Linked DNA regions of Oryzias latipes. The protein of the gene in region 1 interacts with the protein of each later gene in a biochemical or structural test. Links are inferred from orthologs where the notes say so. Each region holds a gene or a part of one and is shown on either strand. Other genes may lie near its edges. The genes, in order: esr1, ncoa6, CCAAT/enhancer-binding protein beta, mta1, phb2, flii and nuclear receptor coactivator 7.

Evidence for each region.
Region 2: the proteins of esr1 (region 1) and ncoa6 form a complex in vitro, tested with the Homo sapiens proteins (4 studies listed by BioGRID). The link is inferred for Oryzias latipes from reciprocal best matches to the Homo sapiens genes ESR1 and NCOA6.
Region 3: the proteins of esr1 (region 1) and CCAAT/enhancer-binding protein beta form a complex in vitro, tested with the Homo sapiens proteins (2 studies listed by BioGRID and IntAct). The link is inferred for Oryzias latipes from reciprocal best matches to the Homo sapiens genes ESR1 and CEBPB.
Region 4: the proteins of esr1 (region 1) and mta1 form a complex in vitro, tested with the Homo sapiens proteins (4 studies listed by BioGRID). The link is inferred for Oryzias latipes from reciprocal best matches to the Homo sapiens genes ESR1 and MTA1.
Region 5: the proteins of esr1 (region 1) and phb2 form a complex in vitro, tested with the Homo sapiens proteins (3 studies listed by BioGRID). The link is inferred for Oryzias latipes from reciprocal best matches to the Homo sapiens genes ESR1 and PHB2.
Region 6: the proteins of esr1 (region 1) and flii form a complex in vitro, tested with the Homo sapiens proteins (2 studies listed by BioGRID). The link is inferred for Oryzias latipes from reciprocal best matches to the Homo sapiens genes ESR1 and FLII.
Region 7: the proteins of esr1 (region 1) and nuclear receptor coactivator 7 form a complex in vitro, tested with the Homo sapiens proteins (2 studies listed by BioGRID). The link is inferred for Oryzias latipes from reciprocal best matches to the Homo sapiens genes ESR1 and NCOA7.

What each region holds. Positions count from the first base shown.
Region 1 is NC_019882.2:8,948,422-8,951,387, forward strand, and holds the end of esr1 (estrogen receptor), read left to right. Parts: intron 1-248; coding exon 249-382; intron 383-988; coding exon 989-1,172; intron 1,173-1,340; coding exon 1,341-1,638; 3' UTR 1,639-2,466; downstream 2,467-2,966.
Region 2 is NC_019865.2:14,778,078-14,781,577, forward strand, and holds part of ncoa6 (nuclear receptor coactivator 6), read left to right. Parts: coding exon 1-451; intron 452-569; coding exon 570-701; intron 702-2,243; coding exon 2,244-3,500. UniProt on the Homo sapiens protein: Nuclear receptor coactivator that directly binds nuclear receptors and stimulates the transcriptional activities in a hormone-dependent fashion. Coactivates expression in an agonist- and AF2-dependent manner.
Region 3 is NC_019865.2:21,871,284-21,874,653, forward strand, and holds CCAAT/enhancer-binding protein beta, read right to left. Parts: upstream 2,030-3,370; 5' UTR 1,834-2,029; coding exon 973-1,833; 3' UTR 501-972; downstream 1-500. UniProt on the Homo sapiens protein: Important transcription factor regulating the expression of genes involved in immune and inflammatory responses. Also plays a significant role in adipogenesis, as well as in the gluconeogenic pathway, liver regeneration, and hematopoiesis.
Region 4 is NC_019880.2:4,694,886-4,698,924, forward strand, and holds the start of mta1 (metastasis-associated protein MTA1), read right to left. Parts: upstream 2,801-4,039; 5' UTR 2,782-2,800; intron 2,667-2,781; exon of another isoform or gene 2,638-2,666; 5' UTR 2,565-2,637; coding exon 2,537-2,564; intron 1-2,536. UniProt on the Homo sapiens protein: Transcriptional coregulator which can act as both a transcriptional corepressor and coactivator. Acts as a component of the histone deacetylase NuRD complex which participates in the remodeling of chromatin.
Region 5 is NC_019862.2:5,437,998-5,441,997, forward strand, and holds the end of phb2 (prohibitin-2), read left to right. Parts: coding exon 1-29; intron 30-234; coding exon 235-419; intron 420-503; coding exon 504-633; intron 634-797; coding exon 798-901; intron 902-1,031; coding exon 1,032-1,109; intron 1,110-1,198; coding exon 1,199-1,278; intron 1,279-3,231; coding exon 3,232-3,256; 3' UTR 3,257-3,500; downstream 3,501-4,000.
Region 6 is NC_019866.2:18,081,530-18,085,544, forward strand, and holds the start of flii (protein flightless-1 homolog), read right to left. Parts: upstream 2,801-4,015; 5' UTR 2,756-2,800; coding exon 2,693-2,755; intron 1,277-2,692; coding exon 1,166-1,276; intron 1-1,165. UniProt on the Homo sapiens protein: Is a regulator of actin polymerization, required for proper myofibril organization and regulation of the length of sarcomeric thin filaments. It also plays a role in the assembly of cardiomyocyte cell adhesion complexes.
Region 7 is NC_019882.2:16,951,100-16,954,599, forward strand, and holds part of nuclear receptor coactivator 7, read left to right. Parts: intron 1-1,675; coding exon 1,676-1,788; intron 1,789-3,500. UniProt on the Homo sapiens protein: Enhances the transcriptional activities of several nuclear receptors. Involved in the coactivation of different nuclear receptors, such as ESR1, THRB, PPARG and RARA.

The DNA.
Region 1 (2,966 bases):
TTCGCTAGATATTATCCATCTTACCCTCACTTTTCCGCTGAGCTGACAAATGGAGAGTGACAGTGATTTCGTCCATTACTTGTGTATCTGGCCGGGGTTTAGACACTTTCACAGCTGCAGATGAGGTCAGATTCTTCGTTCTGAGAGGATTCTCTGCAAGGATGCTCTGCAGACCACAGCTCATCTTTCTGCCTCTAGAGACTGTTTCTCAACTTTCAGCCTTGACTTTTTTTGTTTTTGGCTTTTAGGAATGAGGGAGACTGCGTGGAAGGCATGACGGAGATCTTCGACATGCTGCTGGCCACTGCTTCCCGCTTCCGTGTGCTCAAACTCAAACCTGAGGAATTCGTCTGCCTCAAAGCTATTATTTTACTCAACTCCGGTAGGCCATTGTATTGTGACGGGAATGATGTTTACTTTTTTTACTTTTTTTTGTTATTCTCTTTTGACGCAAGCTTCTTGTGAAACGACTTCACAGAAACTGTGGGCAAACAGCAGAATGTCTGCCTCCATTTCAGCTCCAAAGTTTGACAGTTGTGTTTGTGTGGGCACATCGTCACATGTCTTCTTCTTTGCTCGCAAGAGTAAATATTGAACAGTGTCATCATACACCCACAGGCGGGCACCTCTGAGTGCTGCTCAGACACATTAGGTGAACAGAGTGTTCTGGAGGAGGGCTGCACCGTCAATACGCTTGATACCCGTCGTCATGACAACATGAGACAGCATAGGGGGCCGTGTTTATCCCGGTGATTGAGATATTTTATATGGGAAACGGGGGGGGGGGGGGGGGGGGGGGGGGCAAATATCATCGAGATGACACACGAGCATCAGCTGCTGGAGCAGGACGAACTTTCATTGTGCATCTGAAAAAAAAAATATTTTAGATTTCAGGCTCATCGCTGAGGCTAATTAATCGAGATGAGGATGCTGCTTTTTTTTTTATTTTATTTTTTGCAGTGTACTGATGAGCTCATGTATTTGTTAGGTGCTTTTTCTTTCTGCACCGGCACCATGGAGCCACTTCACAACAGCGCGGCGGTTCAGAGCATGCTGGACACCATCACAGACGCACTCATTCATTACATCAGTCAGTCGGGTTACTTGGCCCAGGAGCAGGCGAGACGGCAGGCCCAGCTGCTCCTGCTGCTCTCCCACATCAGGCACATGAGGTAAAACCAAACCACCAGTTACCAGACCAACCCATATGAGACTCTTGTAGTTTCAATCAAATTTCAACTCCAAAGTGGTGATGAGCTAAAAAGAAAAAAAATATGAAAGGAAAAGTTTTTAAAGTTTCAATAAACTTTAATTGCATCTTTACCTCTTCCTGTTTGTAGCAACAAAGGCATGGAGCACCTCTACAGCATGAAGTGCAAGAACAAAGTCCCTCTTTATGACCTCCTACTGGAGATGCTCGATGCCCACCGCCTGCACCACCCCGTCAGAGCACCCCAGTCCTTGTCCCAAGTCGACAGAGACCCTCCCTCCACCAGCAGCGGCGGGGGTGGAATCGCTCCCGGTTCTATATCAGCATCTCGAGGCAGAATCGAGAGTCCGAGCAGAGGCCCCTTTGCTCCCAGTGTCCTTCAGTATGGAGGGTCGCGTCCTGACTGCACCCCGGCCCTTCAAGACTGAGCACACAGTCCAAGGCCCTTTTTTTGTGGCTCAAGGGTTCAGGTTGGGACAAGGTGATGCTTGATTTAATTTTAAGAATTATTTATAAATAAGAGTGGCGCTGAGAGGAGAAGCTCCCACAATGAACTGCCTCTGCTTGGTCCAGCTTTTGTGCAGTCACTTTAATCTGCTTATATTCATCTCCTTTGTAAACCTGAGCGTCTCTTTAGCAGCTTTTTTTTGCTCTCCAAACAGCATGTGGTAGATTGTAAGGTTGCGTCCCATGAGTTCTGGTGATTTCAAGAAAATGAGCAGCTAATGTTTTCTGTAACCGTCTTGACCCAAGTGCACTTCCTCTTGGATTAAAGGGGCTAATGGGCATTATTTTGTCTCTTGTACATATGGGATGGCTAAGAATAATGAGAGTAATTGTCAGATTTTGTGTAGAACTTACCCACAAATGCAATTTTAAAATAAGATTTAAAAACAAAAGAGGCAAGATCAAACCTGAGAGCACTGAAGACACGCTGTAGAAAGCTGGGTAAATTTGTTATCCACGTCTATCTCTGGAAAGGACTTTGTTCTCTGTGCCTGCAGCTCATTTACTCTGAACTTGCTACTTGTTGAACATTTGTGCACTTGTCCGTGTTTTTCTAGCACTGTAGCTTATGAACGCTGAGAAAGAATCTAATGCTTTGATGCACAGATTTGCCTTGTATTGTACATCTCAGCCACAAACGTACTTTTCGTCCACAAGTTGACTGACTGCACCTTGATTAAATTGTCTAAAAGTTCATTTAAATGTTGAATTCTGTGAAAATTAAAAAGGCAATTCCTGTTTCTATTTCACATGAGTGATAATGAACGTCTTCAAGAATCAACTTGTACTTCAACTGTTTCAGCTCTAAATCAAAGGCATGAGTGAAAATCTGCTACTTGTAACTCGTTTCTACAGATTTAGCAAAAAATAATTGGAAAAATCAGGGTTTTCTGGCTACATTTAATTGGAAAGTCTCAAACAAATGAAGTCACACTTTCATTTATTACTTGGAATGCTCCGTTTTATCAGAATGACTCATTTTATGCCCTCTAAGAGGAGTGAGGCTAAAACTCATTTTAGTTTTGAGCTATTTAGGACATTTTTGCTGTGCAATCATGAATGTTAGATTTCAACTTTATCAGCTCGTTGCTGTATCTTGTAAGTTTTGTTAGCCCAGGGCTAAAAGACACAAAGTGTGAAAAATATATGCAAAGAAGGGACAGTAATCACTTAAGTAATTGGCATCCTGTGACTGTTGCATGGACTGATTCATCATAAACCCGCTTTTTTTAATAGAATGTCAAATTTG
Region 2 (3,500 bases), on another chromosome or scaffold:
TCCCTAGCTACTGTACAGACCCCCAGTCATCCTCCACCCCCTTATCCGTTTGGCAGCCAGCAGGCTGGGCAGGTGTTCAATGCCATGGGACAGGGACAGTTACAGCAACAACATCAACCGGGAATGGGCCAGTTTGCTGCCCCTCAGCCTAAAGGCCAACAGGCTGGACCTGGTGGTGTCACAGGACTAACTCGCCCCCCTCCACCCCTTCCACAAACTTCTGGACCACAGGGCAACCTCGCAGCTAAGTCGCCTGGATCGTCTTCATCTCCTTTTCAGCAGGGCTCTCCAGGTACTCCTCCTATGATGGCTCAGAGACCCACAACTCCACAGGGTTTTCCTCAGGGTGTTGGTTCACCAGGAAGAGCAGCCCTCAGCCAACAGGGCAACATGCAGCAAGGATTCATTGGAATGCCCCAGCATGGACAACCGGGGGGCCAAATTCACCCAGGTTAGTAACTCTGGTTAGTATTTTGTTGTTCCAATGGAAAAAAAAACAACCTGTCAAAGAAGTTCACTTTTTCTTGATCATCTTTATCCAAAATGACCATTGTAATCATCAATTCTAGGCATGGCAAAGCGTCCCATGGGTTTTCCAACATCTAACTTTGTTCAAGGTCAGGTGAGTGTTAGCACTCCAGGAGCTCCTGGTGGAGGAGCAACTCAGCAACTGCAGACCAACCAAGCAATGTCTCAAGCAGGTAAAACTTCTACAGATCTCTAAACAAAAAGAAAAATGCTTGTTTTATGATGTAGAAAGTATCTGACTTTACTTGCTGCAGGTAGTGGCTTAAATGCTGTCTGCTCAGAAACTGAGGGTGGAATTCTCATAGGGAAGTTTCGATCAACCCAGAATGGGAATTACTATCAGAATAGCTCAGACTGGTTAGAGAATTTGACATGGCATCACATTTGTATCACATTTTCACTTACTTCACTTCGTTTTCTGTGCTGTAGCACATCAAATGGTACAACACACTTCATGCAACAATTCCCATTTTGCAACATCATGTTGCACAATTGAGCATGTTGTCTACCATGTTTGATGCCTTAAATAATTACCTAGTTTGAAGCGATGCGGCAGTTGCAGCTCATTCCAATTCATTCTTAATTATGCTTTGTCAACACTTAATTTGCTATTAATAGCTTTAGCCTTCACACTGAAAGGCTCGTTCTTGTTTTTTCTTTAACTTCACTCATTTTAAAATGTTTATCTGGTATGTCAGTGTCACATTAAGTTTATTTAAGATTACAGGTTTTCTATTTAACAAAAGACACGTTAATGTTAAGCTAAACACTTGGTTCATCTAATGAGTTGGAGCAAAGTAAGAGTTCTCAACAGAAAATAGAAGAAAAAGGGGAAAACAAGGATTTTAAATCAATCGAAGAAGTCTACATTCAAAAGCTGGAATCCTAAAGCCCCACTCATATTTAGAGCCATTGTAAAAGTGTTCCCAGTGATATTTTAATTACGATTTTCAAAAAACCTGTGTTGTTTTCTTGAACATAGTGTCTGCAGAGCAGCACTAGTTAATTAGAAGTTTGCCTCAGAGTTGTGGGTGGGACTGTTGGTGCAGAGCAAACGCCCTCCCACTTCCCGTCACCCATCTGTTTACCACGCTCTCCCACTACCTTACAGCCCCTTACATCCCTAACCTGACAGTACTTGTGCAACAAAAATGACGAGCAATATTGGAGCCATCCAGCCGTACAGTTTAGAGCCAGATGCCAGTTCAGACAAGGAAAATGAAGACGTACATGGATCTGTGGTTTATAAGTAGATGCATCAGAATGGAGAGGAGCAGGGAACTTGTGACCTGCCAATAGGAGCTTCTATGTCACAATAAGCTCGTAATCAAACAGCAGTTTTTTGGTCTGCTCCTCATTTACAACAGTTTGAAAAAAGATACCCAGAAATGCATTTTTGAGATTAATTTTCTTTTTTATATATGGCCTCCATCATGAGAAAAAGGTCAAAAGCAAATGCATTAAACACCAAAAACACAATATTTTATTTGAGTAAGTCTTTAACAAATGAATTGAAGCTTGTCTCTGTGTGTCACTTGGGATCCATTTTTCTTAAATACACCAGTCTTCAATAATTATAGTAGTCTATTTTTTTCTTTTATTAGCAAACCCCTTTTTATTAGCTTTATATGTTTTTGTTGAGAACTATTTATAATTTCAGAATTAACACCATGATATATGCAACCATTTATGCTATCCTTTGTATTTTACATCAGGGCCTCAACCATCACCTTCCACTCCCAGCTCAATGCAGGGACCACCTCATGTTCAACCCAATGCCATGGGTGTGCAAAGCAGCATGGCAGGTCCAACCCCATGCACAACTGCTGGACCTAGTATGGGTCAGCAGCAACCTGGCCTCCAGACCCAGATGATGGGCCTCCAGCATCAGGCCCAGCCTGTGTCCTCCTCCCCCAGCCAGATGGTACAAGGTCAAGGTGGAGGTCAGACTGTCCTTTCAAGGCCTATCAATCAAGGCCCGAGAGGTGGAATGACCCCACCTAAGCAAATGATGCCACAGCAAGGCCAGGGGGTGATGCATGGGCAGGGTCAGATGGTTGGAGGCCAGGGGCACCAGGCCATGCTCCTGCAACAGCAGCAGCAAAACTTGATGATGGAACAAATGGTTGCCAACCAGATGCAAGGAAACAAGCAGGCATTCGGAGGCAAGATTCCAGCTGGGGTTATGCCGGGCCAGATGATGCGAGGCCCATCCGCAAATATTCCTGGTAACATGGGGCAGTTCCAGGGACAGGTGCCCCCACAGCAGATGACTCCACAGCAACAACAACAGATGGCTCAACTACAACAGCAACAGTTACAGCAACAACAGCACCAGTTGCAACAACATCAGCTACAACAACAGCAACACCATCAGCAGATCAGTCAACAACAACAGCCACAGCAGGCTCCCATCCCTAATAATCCTAATCAAACTATGGGTCTGCATGGGCAGCAGATGAGACTACCTGCTGGCCATCATCTCATCCAACAGCAGCTACAACAGCAGCAGCAGCTGCAGCAGCAACAACAGCAGAAACAGCAACAGGCAATGTTGCAACAACAGCAACAAGCAGCTCAGCAACACCAACATACCATTGGGGACCCAAATAGTGGCACAGGTGACTTGGGAGTCCAGCAAATGGTCCCAGACATGCAGGCGCAGCAGCAGCAAGGCATGATGGGTGGCCCTCAGCATATGCAGATGGGAAATGGCCACTTTGCTGGTCATGGCATGAATTTCAACTCTCAGTTCTCAGGTCAGATGCCAATTGGAGGGGCATGTGGACAGCAAGGTAGTTTTCCCGTCAATAAAGATGTTACACTGACTAGCCCACTGCTGGTCAACCTGCTGCAAAGTGACATATCTGCCAGCCAGTTTGGACCAGGAGGAAAGCAAGGTGCTGGTGGAGGAAATCCAGCTAAACCTAAAAAGAAGAAACCACCACGCAAGAAAAAACCCAAAGAGGGGG
Region 3 (3,370 bases), on another chromosome or scaffold:
AGCATAAATGGGTTTGATTTATTTTAGGACCCTTGGGAGAATGCGTCAATTATTTAAAATAAACAGAAACGAAAATGAACCTGTTTAAAAAGAGGAAAAAAAAGAGTGTGAGGAGTTAGGTTGTGTTTTGTGTAAAAGGTTATCTGCAAGAGATGTTTGTTTTAAGTGCAATTTGACAAAAACCAATGACTAAAAAGATTCCAAACTATATTTTTTAAAGCTTTTTAACTACAGAGAACTATATTTTCTACTTTATAATGAAATACGTATGATTAATTAATAACGTTTTGTGCAACAAAGGTTCAAATATTTAAAGGCCTGTAGGATTCTTTTCGTGATTTGTAGTTTATTTTACGCAAACCTGGATTATAAAAACAGCCGTTTTCCTCAACGCAATATGCTGTAACGGATTAAGTGTGAGTCTGAGTGTGAACGCCCATGTCTGTGTGCCTGTCTGCACCCTAAACCTGCGGAGGAAAGGACAGAAAAGAGCGTGCAAATTCCTTTAAACAAAGTATAAATCTATTTAATCCAATGTCAAGTACAATTAAAGCATTTCACCTTTTTAAATCTTAAATAATTAGACTTATTTCATTCATTGCCAATACTATTACAAAGAGTTGCATCATTTCACTGCAGCACAACTCTCCCCGTTGACAGCCATTGCTGCAGACACACACACACACACACACACACACAAAAATCTAGAAATTCAAGGGTATGAATGTATGTATGTAAAACCTGCACAGAAATACTGCATACACAAACATTACATGTGAGGAAAAAGCCACAGTGACATGTAAAGAGTGGTGAACGGTTGCGCAATCCATGCACCCACTTGTTCAGTCTTATTCAGTGTCCATTGTAAACTGGGGATGGCCGCCTTCACCTGTGTACCGTTTGGATCACCGTGCACTCTCCAGTCCACTTGAGGGAGCGGCACAGGGGGGTTCTCTCGTGGGAGGGGGGTACCTAACATTGTCCAGTTGCTGAGAGCAGGTTGCGCAGCGTGGCCAGCTCCCTAGACAGCTGCTCCACGCGCTTTTGTAAACGGTCGTTCTCCGCGGCCAGTTCCAGCACTTTGTGTTGAGTCTCCAAGTTGCGCATTTTGGCTTTGTCCCTGCTCTTCCTCACGGCGAGGTTGTTCCTCTCCCTCCTCAGCTTGTACTCTTCACTGTCCTTGTCCAATCGTTTTTTAGACTTCCCGCTGCTCCCCTTGCCGCCGTGAGACGGTGACCTGCCTTTACCTGAGGGCGCAGGTGTGCCGGGCGGGCTGGAGCAGGTGGAGGACGCAGTGGAGATGTTCCCCAGACTGCTGCTGGTGGACTGGTAATGAAGATAGGACCTCATGTCGAACCCGGACGAGCCGTTCTCCATCTTGGCGTCTTCCAGGTTGTCGTCTCTGTCGGCGGCTGCGGCGGCGGTTCTGTAGCGGCTCAGTTCGGGGCTCAGGACGCTGTCCGCGCGCGTCTCCTGCAGCTCCGAGTAGCCCAGCGAGTAGGGCTGCCGGGGGTCGCACTGGCTCGACTCCAGCTCGCCCAGCAAAGAGTAGTTCCTGTAGCTCTGGAGAGCTGAGACTCTCTTGATCTTGCTCTCCGCCAGAAAGTCAGAGTACGCGTCCCCCTGCGGCTGCGTCTGCGCCGCCAGCTGCGCGCAGTGGAAGGCTGGGTCCAGGTAAACGCTCAGGTCTATCGCTCTCTCCCGCTCCTCAATGCCCAGCTCCGTCATCGAGTCACCGAGCCGCCAGTACGAGCCGCCGACGATGGGACTGATGATACCGTCTCTGCCGTGGATAGCAAAGCTTCCCTCCTCGTACAAGCCGGCCACTTCCATGGATCTGCACTCCCGCCGGACTGCAGGAGCGGGCAGGGCTGAGGTGAGGCGCCCCGAGTTCTTCAAGTTCAGCTGAGTAACTGGAGAAAACGTGTCGGAATGCAGCGAGCTGAAAGCACCCGCGTCACTTCATGTGGCAACAACAAGAAGCAACTTTTTTTTTCTGTGGCGGATTGGGAGGAATTGACAGACCTTCCTGTCTCGAGAGGGTTTTATTCCACAGCGCGGGGGGCGGGGCCTAACAGGGCAGGTGTGACGAGCGGAGCCTGTCAGCGAACAACCTGTTCCACTTTGGAGAACGTTTCCCGCATTCATCTGTTTATGTCGGGACAAACGAAAACCTGAACTTGACTTGTTGTCTATTTAAAGTGAAGTCTTTCATTGTTTGTCAGTAAGCATCAATACAAGTTATTATAAATAATTACTTTGCTCCTTTCTGGACACATTTCCTTAACTCCTGCAGCAGAAAATCACATTCAGTTGTAATCAAAACATCTCTGAACACATTATTTCCAAAACAAAAATGAACAGTTGTGGAAGTGATGCACACATCCCCATCCATCACTGTGCTGGTTTGTGTCAGAAACATTTCACTGTCGTCAAAGACAGATGTGACTGTCTCGTGGGATCAGTGTTATCCCACAACATGACTTCAAGCATGACCCAATGACTCACAGCAAGAACAAAATAGAAGCCTCTCCTGGACAATCATGAGGCCCCAAAAATAAACTGACTCTGAATAAGATCAGATAAGAATTACACGTTTGCTTTAAACGTGCACGTAGATTGAGAAGAAATACCTACAATTTATTTATTGGTGAGAAACTGGTTTGCAAATTGGGATTTACTGCCACCGTGTGGCTAAGAGTATTTAGAAAATTACTTGTCAAGCACTTGTCAATTTGGTGCTTCGAGCATCTTTTGCATATTTTAAGACACGTGTGTGACATTTCTTGTGTGATTTGCTGAAGAAAACAGAGGTAGTCACTTTCCATTTGAAGTCACCATGACTTGCATGTTAGGAAGCGGTCGGTGCAGAATATCATGACAAGACTGTACTGGAGAGAAAAAAAAACTCCAAATGGTATCTAAAGGCTTTTAACATCAGGCCTGGCTGATGTTTGAATATAATCGCACATAAATCAAAGGGATTAAATTGATAATGTATACATTTTTTTGTTGTTTGAGTGAAAAACCTTTTTTTTTGGCTTAAGTTTAATTCTTGCTCCATTAAAACTGCTTTGAAACAGTTTGAAGTTTTCCCTTTGCTTCCAACTTTTCTTCGATGTTTGCATTTTACTTTCAGCTCCCTGTCAGGCAGCTCCATCAAACAGAATGACAGATGACATCTGTAGTGCCTCCATGGGAGTGCTCCCTTCTCTTCCTATAGCGTCACATACAGACAACGTTTTCATCTGAGATGTCATTCTGGATCAGCATTCAAATTTTTCCTGTGACATGTTACACAAAAACACGTGACTTTGATGCTGCACATTTCTGAGTAGGGGTGCAATGATGCATTTTAACGGCGATTTGA
Region 4 (4,039 bases), on another chromosome or scaffold:
CTCCTGAACTCTAGTTCAATAAGCAGAAGCTGTGTTTGCTTCTATGCTTTACACACAGCCCATCTTTGGTAATTAACACTTTCTCTGGTGCGAAGCATTGAGGAAAAACCGCTGTGTGCACCGGATGAGTGGCTTGTGGCCTGCGCTGTGCAAAACAAAGACATGAAGGCCAGAGGAGCCTGCTTTTGTCCAAGTCTTTTTCAAAGGAAGTCCTTCCTAAGATGGTTCAGCAGCATTGTCTTGCAAAGTTGAAGGCAACTCTTTAAGGCTCTGCTTTCTTCTGATGATGACCTGGAACCGGTTTCAGGAGAGGCAGGGTTTATTATTGGCTAAGTCTAGATTACTCCTATCAGTTATTAATTAAGACGTCCTATTTTTATGACTTATGTTTAATGATTTTTGATTAAATTGGGTAAGTTTCATAATCCTAAGATGTTTTCAAGTATTTTATAAGAAGCTAAATGGATTTTTCTTTTTCCAAAATGACAAATTAGGGAGTTTGTGTAAACAGCTTAGACCCTGATTGATAAATTTAATTACATTTCCTGAGCTGCGGTGCAACAAAACAGAGGCAACCCAATACAAGCTCAGTGCATTAAGGCAATAAATAAATAATACATCTGCACAGTTAATTACAATTTGCTCAGATGAGGAATTTAAGCCCTGCTGATGGATTCTCCTCTAGAGAATGACGATGAAGGTTTGGACCAAATTAGGCAACACTTTGGCAGAGGGAGGGTTAACCTTCTACCCTGATCTGGGCATAATCCTGTTGCCAGTCAGGTAGATCTGGTTTAATTTGACTATAGCTGATCCATAGAAGTCCATCTAACTCCTACATTTGATGGGACGATTTTTTGGTCAGAACAAGCAAATAGATCCATAAAGTGAAGGTAATTCTTCTTCATCATCGTTCCTCTTTCCCAGACGTGCACACACTGGTTAGATGTACTACAAAATGTGGTTACTCAGCCTGTACAAGCGGTTATGACCAAAGAATATCAATACATAGATTAGATAAATAAACTCAGCTGTAAATTGCTGCACCTGCTGCCAGCTCTTCGGGGATACGATGACACATCTCGAGACAAATGACAACTTCATCCAAGCCAAAGAACGTCAATTGTTCAAAAACCCACACAGCACCCCATCTAAATTACTCGCAGAAAAATCGCCCACTCAACACTATATTTACGTTCTAGTTGTGAACTAATTCAGTCAGTGTTTGTTTTGATGAACGTTTAGGAGGGTAAGTAATGCAAAAATCCGACAAATTCAGGTGTTATTTCAATGCCAATACATTTAAAGAAGAAGATCTAATTCAAACTGGATTTAGGGGTGAAAGAAAAACATTAAAAATAAGATTTAAATTAATTTTGAGCATCATTATATGTATCTTTACAAAACTTTTTTATGAAGTCCTAACACAGAGAAATGTGTACCATCGAGATAAATATTATGGTATCAAAATGTTTCAAATTAATGGTTTTTTCAGTTAGTTCACATATCATTTTTACACCAGTCTACAAGTTTTTGATACATTTTAAAAACATAAACACACATTATTAAATTAATAACTAGAAAAGCATCTTTGTGTGGATTATTCTATAATGACCACTGTTGTCAAGATAGCTTATGTTACAATAATAGAAAAAAAAATTTATTTAAATCCCAAAAAACACTTCCTAATTTCTAAAATTAAACCAAAAACCTGTTGTTGTTTTTTGCTTGTTTAAACCTTTAACACACAAAACAAGACATTTGTAACATTTTAAAGGGTATTTTTAAACATTTAAACCACAACAAGAGGGCTAATATATTTACAATAATTTATAATGACATTATTAGACTTTGTTATGTGAACTTTCACGTGTTTTTTTCCCCTGTAGGATTTGAATCTGAACACAGGCAGAGAACGAGTGGGTGGGGAATCTTAATTAGGTACTTTAATCAATTGCCTGTTTAAAAATATTTTTAAATTATTATGGAAATAAAATAGCTTAGCGATGGATGGGCATGAAAACCATCACTAAAGTTGCCAGTTTGGTGTTCCCCAAATGTTTTTGGTAGAATTGAACTTTTTGTCCCAGCAGCCTCCTTCTCCTTCAGCTCATGGATGCTTTACCTGTCTCCGTTGGTCAGTCAGTGAAGTCCTCCTGGCTGCTACTCCGAGCAGAAAGCAGTTTAAACGCACGCAAAACTTTGGGGAAAATGTTCGCCATGATACCTTCAAACAGGAGAGAACCTAAAGCATTTCACTAAAGTGCGCATCCCCACACTGAAGGAGTTGTTTGGCTCCACGCTGAGCAACAAAACACAGGCACAAAAGAAGCTACCAACATTTCGTGATTAGAAAAAAAAAAAGATCTACTACTCTTCATCACCATCCTCCTCTTCACACCATCCTCATCTGTGGAGGCACAAAGCTCTTTAGCTTTTTGGGAAATAAAAGATCTCGCTCTGTGAATAATGGCGAGCCCGCCATAAAATAACGAAGACGGGGGTGTTCCAAAGAGCCGAACCCGTGTGCGCTTACCTCCAACCCGGTACATGTTCGCTGCCATGACTGCGCCCCGGTCCCTGGCTTCCTCTCCAGGTAGAGGGGTGGCTCTCTTCTCTGTGGCGCTGCCGGAGCTGCTGTGTGTTGGAAAATGGTGGATTGATCAATACGAAACAGACTGCCAGAGACGTCTTAAAGAGACAGTACACCTCTTTTTCGAAACCTCAAAATTTGGGCACCCGGACGTGGATAAGTGAACTCACAATTTCAACAAATATTACCTTTAAGTAGCGACACATGACATATTTCCCAAAACGTGTAATTTATACAACGAGAAAGTGACGTAATCTTCCTTAAACGCGTCTATGTAAGTCGTTTTTATGAAAATGTCAACTTCAAATTTGACAATTGAATGTACACTTTTGTTTAAAATCACAATTTTGCTTGTCAAGAAAGATAATTCGACTATTATTTGAAAATCCCAACATTGCCTCAGTTATTTGCGGCATAGAACTTAAACTATCGCGATACTTTAAAATAAAAAACAAAAGTTCTTGGATATAGAAATGCGAACATCACCTGTGCTTATGTAAATAAATGTACTTATTTGCTGTTTCCCTATATATTATGTAGTTATAGGAGTTTTGATTATAAATAATAACTCTGAAATAATTGTCAAATTAAGAATCTCCTTCTCAATCATCTTTTTTATTTGTTTTAAAAGTATCCCTAAAGAGTTGCCGTAGTGTTTAACTAACTGCACGTGCAACCAAAATAGAGTAAAACTAGTAATTTTTCACACTTTTTAAAATTAACTCAGGGATTATTTTTATAAACAAAAATAAGTTCCATAGAAGTAACATTTTCAGAAGCAACAGAAAATGATAAATTGGAGAAATTGTTGTTTAAATATGGCATAACTTTACAGACTTTAGATTTAAATAGTAGCCAATTGGTGATTGGATAAACATGATTAATATTATGCTAAAATGTTTAATTTTAATCCAATTTTTACTTTAAAATATGAAATATTTCACCCTAATTTAATATAGTAATATATTCATTATATAATGGCTCATATCTTTGTAATATAAAGAACTGTAAGAAAATAGTGAACGCTTTTCATAATTTTTCTGTTTCCTGCTAAAGTTCGTTTTCTTGTATACTTTGGCAAAGAGCGTCACACCTGCCACGCAAGAAAAAATTAGACAATAGATCATCAATAAATCCTCCAATGTATAAACCATAAACATGTAATTTGTTTTGTCATTTAGCAAATTGAATTTCATTTATTTGACGTTACATGAGTGGGTGTTATGCCAAACAGTTGTCCAAATTAGCCCAGTTTTCAGTGTGGATGCAAAAAGGAAGTCACTGTGCTGCAGGAATGCTGTGGTGAAGGCAACATCTGATCTATACCATATGGAAGCTTCAATTACCATGGCCTAACACGGGGGACTCTGCTTGTGATCACATGAGTGGATCAGGCCAATCAGCTGTGCGTGCCTCATGCACTCCTACTTATGTGTGCAGTCTCCG
Region 5 (4,000 bases), on another chromosome or scaffold:
AAAGATCTCCTCTTTGACAGGCAGCAAAGGTAAAACTCTCACTGTCTTTGCTTGGGGGTTGGATGTAGAGCTGGCCATGGTTTCTTTTAACTACCTGGGCCAGGTGTGTATAATCCATGACTGGTGATACCGGACTTCCTGTTATTCGGGGCACCTGTGTAAGGTTCTTGTGTCATTGTGGTCCCTCTACATTTGGGTGAAATAAAATTGAACCTTCTTGTGTTGTGTGTGTAGACCTGCAGATGGTGAACATCGCCGTACGCGTCCTGTCCAGACCTCTAGCCTCCAATCTGCCCATCATGTACCAGCAGCTGGGTAAGGACTACGATGAGAGGGTTCTGCCGTCCATTGTAAACGAGGTTCTGAAGTCTGTGGTGGCCAAATTTAACGCATCGCAGCTGATCACACAGAGAGCTCAGGTGAGTTGGAGCTCTCCTCTGTAACAGGCGACATCCCATAGTGAGGTCTTGAGCTCTGCTAACGCTGTGCTCTGATTGGAGCAGGTGTCCTTGCTGGTACGCAGGGAGCTGTATGACAGGGCCAAAGACTTTAACATCATCCTGGATGACGTGTCCATCACCGAGTTGAGTTTCAGCAGCCAGTATACTGCTGCTGTGGAGGCCAAGCAAGTTGGTAAGTGGGCACACACCTGCGCCAGGTAGAACCAAGCCTGCAGTCACGTGATGGCAAATAACAAGCCGGAGTGAGAAAATAAGCCGTTGAGACACAGTGAATGGGACTTAAGCCCTCATTAAGAGCCAACCTTTGTGTCTGTGTGTGTTTGTGCGTGCCTATAGCTCAGCAAGAGGCCCAGAGAGCCCAGTTCTACGTAGAGAAAGCCAAACAGGACCAAAGACAGAAGATCATTCAGGCAGAAGGAGAAGCTGAAGCTGCCAAGATGGTAAGCGACAGGGTGACCCGTCAAGGTCTACGTGTTTCTTCCAGTCAGGCTCAGACAAAACCAGGTTCTGACTGAAAGAAAAGTTGTTGAGTTGGTTTCAGCCACACTGATCGATCTGTCTGCATCTCAGCTTGGCCAAGCAGTGACAAAGAACCCAGGTTACCTGAAGCTGAGGAGAATTAGAGCGGCGCAGAACATTGCCAAGACGGTCAGAGACGTTTTTTCCTCTGCAGCACAAGAGTTGTTTCTGTCTGTGAGGATGATGATGATGATGACGGAAGATGTTGTTTCCTCCAGGTGGCGGCGTCCCAAAACAGAATTTACTTGAATGCGGACGGTTTGGTCCTGAACCTGCAGGATCAGTCGTTCTTCAACACGTAGGTTCACACACAAAGGTCGCACTGACCTCCCAACATCTTAGGCTTAACAAGCCTAAAACCTGCTTGTACTAATGCTAACAGTGATCTTCCAACATGCTAACCCTGACCTGTAAAGCCATTGTGGTCTATGCCGATCTAGTGAGCACTGATGGATACTTGTTTTTGCAGTGACATCTTGAAAATGGCGATCATCCTCTGAAGTGCACTAAGTAGTGAGGGAATTTGGACACAACCAATGTGTTAATGCTAACAAGCTAGCTCTGACCTACTCACATGGTAATGCTAGCAAGCAGTGTTGCCAGATAGTCATGGTTTTCCAGCCCAAAAGTCATCTAAAAAGCGCCGGGTTTCACAAGAAAACGATTATTTAGCAGTAATTACTCATCCTTTAATTAATACTTCTCATTTTGATTGAAAGACCAACTTTGAGACATTTTTAATGATATTACATCCACAATTCAATATCTGTAGAATTAAGAAAAGTGCCATCACTGTCCATTAGGTGGACAATGTCCATCTAACTTTTGTAAAACATGAATTTTTGTTTGTATAGAACAGATCGATTATTCCAAATCAAATCAAACTGTGTTTGTATAGCACTTTTTCAACTTGTGCTACTCAAAGTGCTTTACATAAAAACACAATTAAATCCTAAAAACAAAAGACAAGACATTACACAAATATTTTGTCTAAAACCCCTCAAATAGTTGGTGTTTGGACCGAAGTTGTGGATGTAGATTACCGTATTTTCCGGACTATAAGTCGCCCTTTTTTTCATAGTTTGGCAAGGGGTGCGACTTATACACCGCAGCGACTTATATTAGAAATAAATTCAAATAAATACATTGTTAACCCTCCTGTTATGTTCATTTGTGAGGAACAGAGATGATGTTCCTGGGTCAATTTGATGTTTGAGGGATGTTAAGTGTTAAGAGTATGTTAAGTGACTCAGAGAATCAGCAAACTTTTTTTTACAGTAAGATCTTGAAGGCTAACAACATAATATTCTATTTTCCAATGATTTCATAGATTCAGAAATGCAATAAAAATGAAAACTGTTTCTACAAATACAGGCTGAAAACAGATTATTAGTTGGCCAATTATGCTTCATGAAAGGAATAAATAAATAAGTTTGAGAAAGAATTACTGTGAAATTATGAGATAAACAGTCTGATATGATTGTGTCATATAAGGTTGTGCAAATTATTAGTTCTTGGTCTCAGATTTTGTCAAATAAATTTCCCGTCAAAATGCGACTTATAGTCCAGTGCGACTTATCTGTGTTTTTTCTACTTTATAATGCATTTTTGGTCTGGTGCATGCGACTTATAGTCCGGAGCGACTTACAGTCCGGAAAATACGGTAATTTCCAATAGACCAAGACTTGTTTGTGGTATTTAGAAAAATTTGATTGGTAATTTAAAAGGATCAGAATCACATTTAAAACAAATCCGTCCCACCCACCATCTAAAGCAGATGTGAAGGAATGGTAAACCAGATTGAATGTTTTAGCTCCTGTATTTTCAAAGTCAGTGGCCTTCATCTCGCCTTCCTCCCCTTTTATTGGTCAATTCCATTCCGACAGGACAAATCAATCTGGTTTCATCCCAGGAATAGAAATTGATTTATCAACTAATCGATTAATTGCTACGCCCCTACAAGAAAGGGTCTTGAAAACCCTAAGCGGGAAACTCTTCGATACATAAGATCGCAAAAATGGAGTCAAGTGACCTCTAACTTTAGCCTAAACAATAAATGAATGTTTTTCTCTTAATCGCCAAGATGATGAACTGCTGTTGTGCGTGTGGACTGTCGTTTGTCCACATGCACAGTCTAATAGCTTCATCTTAATCCACAATGTTTTGGTGATTGTCCATCTGGATGGAGCCACACAGCGACCTTAACGTTGGCTGACCTTCATGCTGCTGAACCAGGTTCTTGTGTTTTCAGTCTGTCCTTGATGCAGAAGAAGTGATGGAGAGAAAGAGGATGGCGGCTCAGCTGGGACCTCCCCCTGACTGATAGACAGCTGCTTTGGTGGGGGGGTAGAAAGGGAGTAGAGATACCAGTACCACATTTACCCCCCGTCTACCTGACTGGATGAGAAGATCGTCATCCTTTGTTGAGGATTGGTTGTTGCCGTGTCCCAGTTGGAGCAAAAGATCCCGGTGACATTTGTTGTTTTTGTGAATTTATGAAATAAACTTAAATCCAACTGAGTTAAAGGGTCTGGTTTCTTTTTGCATCACCTGGGGAGGGGGGGTTGAGCCAGAGCTGATGAGATGACCTTCAGTTCTGCAGTGTCCAGGTGTTAGACACAAACTGACATCAGAGAAGAAACATGAGTCTGAGAAGAGTATAAAACGATAGAAGACAACAAATCCATTATTCCACAAAGGAGAATCATTGTTTCATCTAATTTCTGACCTTCAGAAGATCATTCAGGCAGATCATCTGGTAGTTGGAACCTCCATATATCTGCAGACCTTTGTCTAGGATTGCTCAGATCCTTTCAGCAAAAACATCCTCACACTCACCAGCTGTGAGGTTCTTAACCATTTTGCTGTAATAGAACTCAGACATGTAATCCAAAACAATGATGGAGAGGAGAACCAACATCCTGGATCGAATAACTCAAAAGTTAAATCCTCAAAATTTCTCTCCATAATCCTCAGACTCATGTTGAGGTCGACTTTTTGGGGATCTACAGGTTTGTGGG
Region 6 (4,015 bases), on another chromosome or scaffold:
AATTCAAATATCTTTACTGAAAAATACAAATTAAAACAACAACAAAACGTAATCACTAAGAGTAAAATCACAAATTACAATTTAAAACCACTTTGAGACAAATATATAATGTGCCGGTTATACAGCTGTCATACACTAAACTACAATGATTTTAGAAAGAAGTTGTTATCAGTAGCAATTCTAATGGGAACTTCTAATATGGGTTGACATTAAGTACCTGTTGGGGCAGCTAGAAGGGCTTCTTTGTCATGTTTATGTATTTTAAAGCCTTGAAGCCCTTCAACACAACAGTTGCTTATTTATTACAACAGAGATCGTCTGTGTCTGTGGGCTTTGACGCTCTGCTAGGGAGCTAGTTGCGGGCCATTTCTTAATAATTACGGCATTTAGTTGCAGTCAGTTGCCTCAAGTCCCACTCCAATCTTCTTGTGATCTATTTTTCCCAGTCGTCTTACAATTATGATAATCACGGACAAGGAAAAGATGGATCTCTTTGTCTACAAGTGGATACAACAGAATGGAGCAGAGCAGGGAGCTTGTGGCCCACCCTGCATATTTTTTGTACGTCACAAATACAATCTTCAAATGCCATTTTTTCGTCTGCTCCTAATTCATGACGATGTGAATAAAGAAATACTCAGAAATGCAGTTTTGATACTAATTTTCTTAATATGTCCTCATCCTTTATGAAAAATGGCCACAGGAACATGTTAAAAACACAATTTTCATTGGAGTCAGTCTTTAAGTCTTTAAGATTGTACGCTGGGGTGTTGTTGGGGTGTGACAACTGTCCCACCGTGTCCAGACTCACTGCTATGTGGATGAAGCATCCAGTGAATTTACATCAACAACATATAGTTCTAAACATTCTCAATAAAAGCACTTTATCGAAATGTGAATCCCTCAGAAGTAAATTAATAAATATATGGTGTAAATTTACTCTTAAAATGCAGATTAGAGTCATTAGATGACAAATTAAAGCTCAGATTTCACACAATGTAAATTTCATTTCTATGATCATCAGCTATATGCAGCGAACCGTGTAAAGAAAACACTTTTTTTATATTGACAGAAAGTCCACTGCCAGCTGCACACATGTGAGAGGCTTGAACAGGTCAGAAAAAAAACTTCAGAGGAGCATCAAAAGCCTTTTGAATCTTCTTACCAACTTTTGGAGAGAAGCCAGCTCCTCTGGAAGATAACAAAGTCCTGTCCGGTTCAGTTTCAGCCATCGTAAGCTGCTCATACACTTTACATGCTCAGGAAAATAACCCCCCTGTGGAGATAGGCAAAGAAACTTGTTTGCCAACACAACAAAATCATTCCAGATTTACACACATCTGATAACTCCATTGAGACGGACGGACGGACAGATGGATAGATAAAAATTGGCAGTGTTTTCACAGAAGCTGCATGACACATGCTGACATCTGGATTTCCTAACATTACAGACAGACAAATGCCTTGAATTTAACAAATTAACACAATAAAAAGTTAGCGGTTGGATGGTTCGGTTGGCTGCGCGTAGGACTGGCGCATGGGAAACCAGGGATCGCGATGAGTTTCATCCAGTGTGGGTCCTTGGACAAGACCCTTAACGCGGCTCCTTAACTATGCAGCCACAAAGGGGCCCAAGTCTGGGTCTCCCTGTGCCAGTCCATAGCCCGGTTAAAATAGAGGGTTCTGTCAGGAAGGGAATAAATGAAAGCGGAATTTCTTTGGCGAGTCCTGCAGGGATATGCCGAAAGGTAAATAAAAACAACACATCAAAAAGATTATTCGCCAGCAAATTCGGACGTGTTCCAATACTCCTTTAGAATCTGGTGAGTCAGGCTCAAAAAAAAGTTAGCATGATGTCAAACTTTTATTATTATCCAACTGAGTTAAATAAAAATGGAAATATTAAGTCTTCCTTGTGACAACAGTAAACGCCTGCCATTTCAGTATTTCTTTTTAAGTCCAGGATCACTGATTGACAGCAACAACTTGAGTTTACACTGTTGACAACAGTGTTGCAATCCCATAATAATCAACCTAAACGGGGCTTGGATACAAACTTAACCTGCTGTGAGTGTGACGGGTCTAAAGTTCGGTGAGGTGATCAATTCCCCTGTGTTTAAATTAACTTAAACTAACTCGATGAAAACCAGAACTTACTAACTAAAGCCATGTCAACACCGGGTTAACAAAACAACCCAACAAGCGCCAACATTCACCTTTAACAAAAGATTCTAAATTAATCCCAAACATTTGAACAATTTAGATCAAAAGTGAATGTCTTAAGCAATAATACACTTAGCCAAAAGTACGCTAACTAAACAAGCAGAGTAGTAGTGATATGTATGATGATGAGTGGCAAGTGCTGTAGCCCTACCCTAGCAACTCAAAACTGTTTTCCTGTAGAGTTACGGCTCTTATTTTATTGTTTAAACAAACATACCTGCCTTAAATACAATTCCGCATACTGCTCAAAGGGTGGTGTCTGACACACACGGGAGTGTTTTTTCTAACAAGAGGCTAACGCCCAACCAATGTTCGCAATCATGTTAAGCTATGCTAGTGTCTTAGCTACTTTCCCTGCTATAGTATAGGTGAACAATTCTCATACAGGAACTAGCTTAGCCTAGGATTCATTTAATATGACTAAAATTAGAGTTATAAATAATGCGAGTGTAGTTTTAAAGAATCTTACTTTGAAGTCATTTCCACTGAGGTCTACTCCCCTTATGAAGGGAAGAACTCCGGTGGCAGCCATTTCTGACTCGCTGATGTCAACTGCTCAAACCTCTACTATTTTGGGTCGGGAGGGAGAGACTGTAGATTTGTTACCGCCCCCTTCTGGCTCGAGAGGAAATGCATTTTGTTTATTTGGAGAGCTCCCCTTTCCCCGTTGTCGTTATAAGGTCACACTTGATTGCAGCCACAAAGTTGTACGCAGAAAGATCACAGCCATAGAAAATAAGTCATAAATAAATAATAATTACTGCTGCCGCGGGTCATAATAATAATAATAAAATAAAGGGCCAAGGAGCATAAATCTGACTTAAATCTTTTAGAATTCTGACTTTTTTCTCAGAATTCCTAGATCAAAGTCAGAATTCTGACCACCAGACCATCAGAATTCTGTGATTAAATTCAAAATTCTAAGATTAAAGTCCGATTTGTTTCGGCCCTTTATTCCTGATTCTCCAAATCATCTTCCTTAAACATGACAATAATAGCTTAACATATGGTAAAACAAACAAACAAATAAATAAAGTGAATGCAGCTAGAAAGAACAAATGCAACAAATAGTGGTAACACAAAGTAAACCCAAATTTAGTACTGCAGAGCTTTTTTAAGGTTACATCTTGTAAAATTTAATCTTTAATAACATTTTAAAAACTGTTCCAATTTAAAAGGAAAATAAAATTAAATCAAGCAAATAGTCGAGAAAAGCTAAAGAACATATTGTTATGGTAATCATTAGTGTCATACTAACAAGAAAATATCACTACACGTATACATTCCCCACATATCTAAATTCACAGAATTTGGAAATTCTGTTGACATTTCCCATACGTTTTCACACATTTGTATTTTGATATATTTTAATGATTTTATACACATTTCCAGTTTAACAAAAAAAACATTTGAAAATGAAGTTTCTTTTCAGCACTCTTCTTTTCCATAGTAAAAAATTGTTAAGCAGAGGACTAAATCACAACAGAGATCTTATGTATTTGGCAGAAGGATTCCAAATGTCACATAATCTCTGGAAATAGAATCCAGGAACAGAATTTTTGGTTTTATCCAGTGTTGCAGGTAGCCACCAAAGTCATAAATGGCTACATATATATACTGAAGCTACTAAACTAGCAAAGTAAAGCAGATAAATGAAAAATAAGTACATGATTATTCCCACAGTAAAACTAAGTATGAGTTAAATATTGTAATATTATAAAATTCTCGTTTTTTAGTCTGAGAAATATTAATACAGTGCCATGTTTTGTCCTCTGTGGTTACCTTTGTTCTC
Region 7 (3,500 bases), about 8.0 Mb from region 1:
TCTTTTTAAGGGTATTTTTTAAATTAGTATTTTACTGTTTTATCTGTGTTTAGCATAAATCACAAATTATACAAAAGGAATTGTTCTTTGTGAGAGATTGGAGGAAAGTAACATTTAATCAAATCAAATAGGGAATTCTGTATATTCAGATTGTTTTCAGAAATAAAACTCAAATCTACTAAGTATAGGATTGCAGCTGACTATTAATTCTGCAATGAAATCTAAATTAACTTTAATTTTTAACTTGCCTTTTTGGTGTTCAGTCAGCCATAAAATATTCTTGTTTTTAATACCCATGTTATCTGTCTATCATGTTATACAGTTGTTTGCCCTATTTTTTTTCCTTTAGGTTAAGTGTTTTATTAAAAAGAAAAACTTTTATTCCTTTTGCATCTCTGACAAACAGCTGTGAAGTTTGGCTGCTTTTGCTTATTTTTTGGCCTCAGAATGAACTTGTGTGAGTGGAGGAGAAGTCTTATCAGTCGATGCAGCTGCTGCTGTCTCCTCCTCCTTCTGCTTCACTTCCTGACAAACAGAGCAAAGGTCACAATGAAGCGCAGGCCTTCGGTCACCGTAAAACTTTAATAAGGCGTTATTGTTTTTGCAGTGTTGAGATTGTAGTTTAATAAAAAAACGAAAACTTGTACAACTACTCAGGCACAATGAAACGCAGAAACTATAAACATTTTGGATTTTTAAAAGCAATATTTTATTAAATGAAGGGGGGAAAAAAGTTTTTCGTTTTGTTCTAGTTTAAAATGAAAATGAAAAACAAAACAAATTTTTATTTTATTAGTACCCATACTTTGAGCAGCTGTCTTAAAGTTATTTTGTTTTATATTGCCTTTGTGATCTTTAAAAAGTCAAATCATGTTGCTTCTCTGCCTGTATTCAGCTCTGAATTGACAAAACCTGTTTTAGTTTTTCCAAACATTTGCTCTGGGTGGACGTGAACCCGATAGAAATGGTTCCACAATTAAAGAAGCTCAATAAAGGAGGAATTTTGAGAATCTACTGACAAATATGTGAGTGTTTGCTGGGATACAAGCTGCTTCAGTTTAAATGAGATGTGTGGGAGGGGAATCCTGTCTGCAGGATTATCGATCCAGTCTCTACTTTCCATTAAAGCACATCAACAGTCGTGAAGCTGCTTCTGCTCATTTCAGAGCTTTGCAGAGCAGCATTCTCCACTTTTTCTAAAAGTTGGTTGCATTAATCATATGGGCCTTTCAGCTCCATTGCATCAAAATGCAGCATCTTCTAATTTTTTCAACAAACCCGTCAATACTGAACTTTAATGATAATAATGAGGGAGACGACAACTTTGATTAGTCCTTCAAAGTTTCATGCATAACTGTAAAGTATGAGATGTGTTATTTACTGCACAATGGTTTGATGTACATTTATAGAAACACAAAAAATAGGGTGGAATTAAATGGAACATCTTCAAGTTGAAACATTTTGTGATGACATGGAGATTCTTTAACACTAATATGTTTTTTTTTCTTCAAAACTTTATTGAAGATGTATAAGATACAAAATCAAGTCAGTTTTAAGTACACAGATAAACAAAAGTAAGCACCAAGATGTACTGAGTATCCAAGTAACTGGTAACAAAATTTTCCCTTTTCTCCTTTAATGAGTCAGAATTAACCATTTTTCTGGTGTTCGTCAGGCGGAAACGGCAGAGCCAATTGGAGAAGAGTCCAAATGAGCGAACCCCAGCACTCTTCAGTGATCCCAACAAGAAGAAGGACCCACAGACAGTAACAGCAAAGCTGCCAGCAGGTTTGGCTTAATTCTGCATGAAAAAAATCATATAAATGTTGGCTTTAGCTGTTCGCAGTTATGAAACTCCTAATAATTGGATGCACAGAAGACTGCAGCAAAGTCTGCACAGACTTCTTTGTTTAACAGACTTCTGCAAGTGCTTTTAGATTAATGTATGGGGGTATGCATTATTAAAAGGCCACTTTGATTAGATAGTCTAATGAATTAAAACTGATGCAAACACTGCAAACACTAGAACTTGACTTAATTCTGTGAAAATGGTGTTAATTTGTTGAATTAAACATTTAATTAAGTCAAAGAAGCTTTGATATAAGCGCCGTTATGATGTTCCGTGTTGTGTTTTTGCTGCAGGTTTACAAAATTCATGATTTGTGGTCAGTGGCAATTATTATTTTGCGGTTGAGAGACACTATTGACATGATCCAGGAATCATTTGTAATGAAGCAACATCAGCAGTTTCAAGCAGGAAGTTACACAACCTGTCCCTGAACGAAATAAGTCTGTCTGTTGATGACAGTAAAAACGTGCATTTCAGCATATTATGAACATCTTTATCCTGCCATCAACTAACTGTTCACAATTTGAAGTCTCAGTCTGATCAACTTTAATCTGTTTTAAAAGTGTTCCCAGTGTTTTATCATTAGTATTACTATTATTATCATTATTATTACTATGGGGTCTTTAGCCCAAAACAAAAAAAACTGTGTGGTTTTCTAGGACATATTTTCTGCAGAGCAGCAGGAGTTCATTAGAAAGTTGCACCTGAGTTGTGGGTGGGACTGTGGCAAGAAGCAACCTTGCCCCCCCCCCCCCCCCCCCATTTGTTCTTTCATTCTTTTCTTTCCCCAGACGGCATTTTTTTTTTAGAAATGAAATAAAAATCTTAATCCTCTTTTTATTTGACCTCCACCTGAAAGATGCCACAACAACATTTTAAAAACACAATTTTCTTCGGAGTGGGTCTTTAATATTTCGGATGTGTGACTTGTGCATGAAATTAAATTAGAGTGCAGATTGAAATAAACACTCTTAAGGACTAAAAGCCACAACAAATTATTTGAATTTATTGCTCACTTTTGAAGGTTTTCAGCTACAAAAATGATCTAGATAATAAAATAAGACCTGAAGTCAGCTGTAAATATTCAGGTTGATGCAGAACTTCTTTTCTTTGACGCACCGTTTGCATAAACCTTTAAATTTGCAGCTGACTCTCTGCTGCTAGCATGCATGCTCACCAAACTGATGATAGACCTCCTTCAGCCAGCAGTGTAAATGGAAGAGCTGCAGCCTGTATTTATGAAACGCTGCTGTCACTAATGGAGTCTAAGGTTGTGGGCAAAGTGCAGAGGATGAACTGAGCATGCTCGGAGCAGACGCACCTGCAGTAAACAGGTTCTACGCCTCGTCATGGCGGCATGACGAGGCAGTCCGAGCTGCACTAATGTCCTCAGAAAATGCTGACCCTGGAGTTTCCTCTACAAGCGTCAGTGTTGCAGCGTGTTTATAGTAAATCAAGCCACAGTTTACATGAAAAGGTTGGTTGTAGGTGAAGTGATAAAGGGACAAGTTCTATTTCTTTAACAAGTATAATAACTGAAATAATAATATAAGTATAAAGCATAATGACAAAGTATTTATTTAAAATGAAAAGGTCAGAAATATACAAAATTACTTTCCACCTAATAAGCTGTGTAGAGGTTAGATGGAAA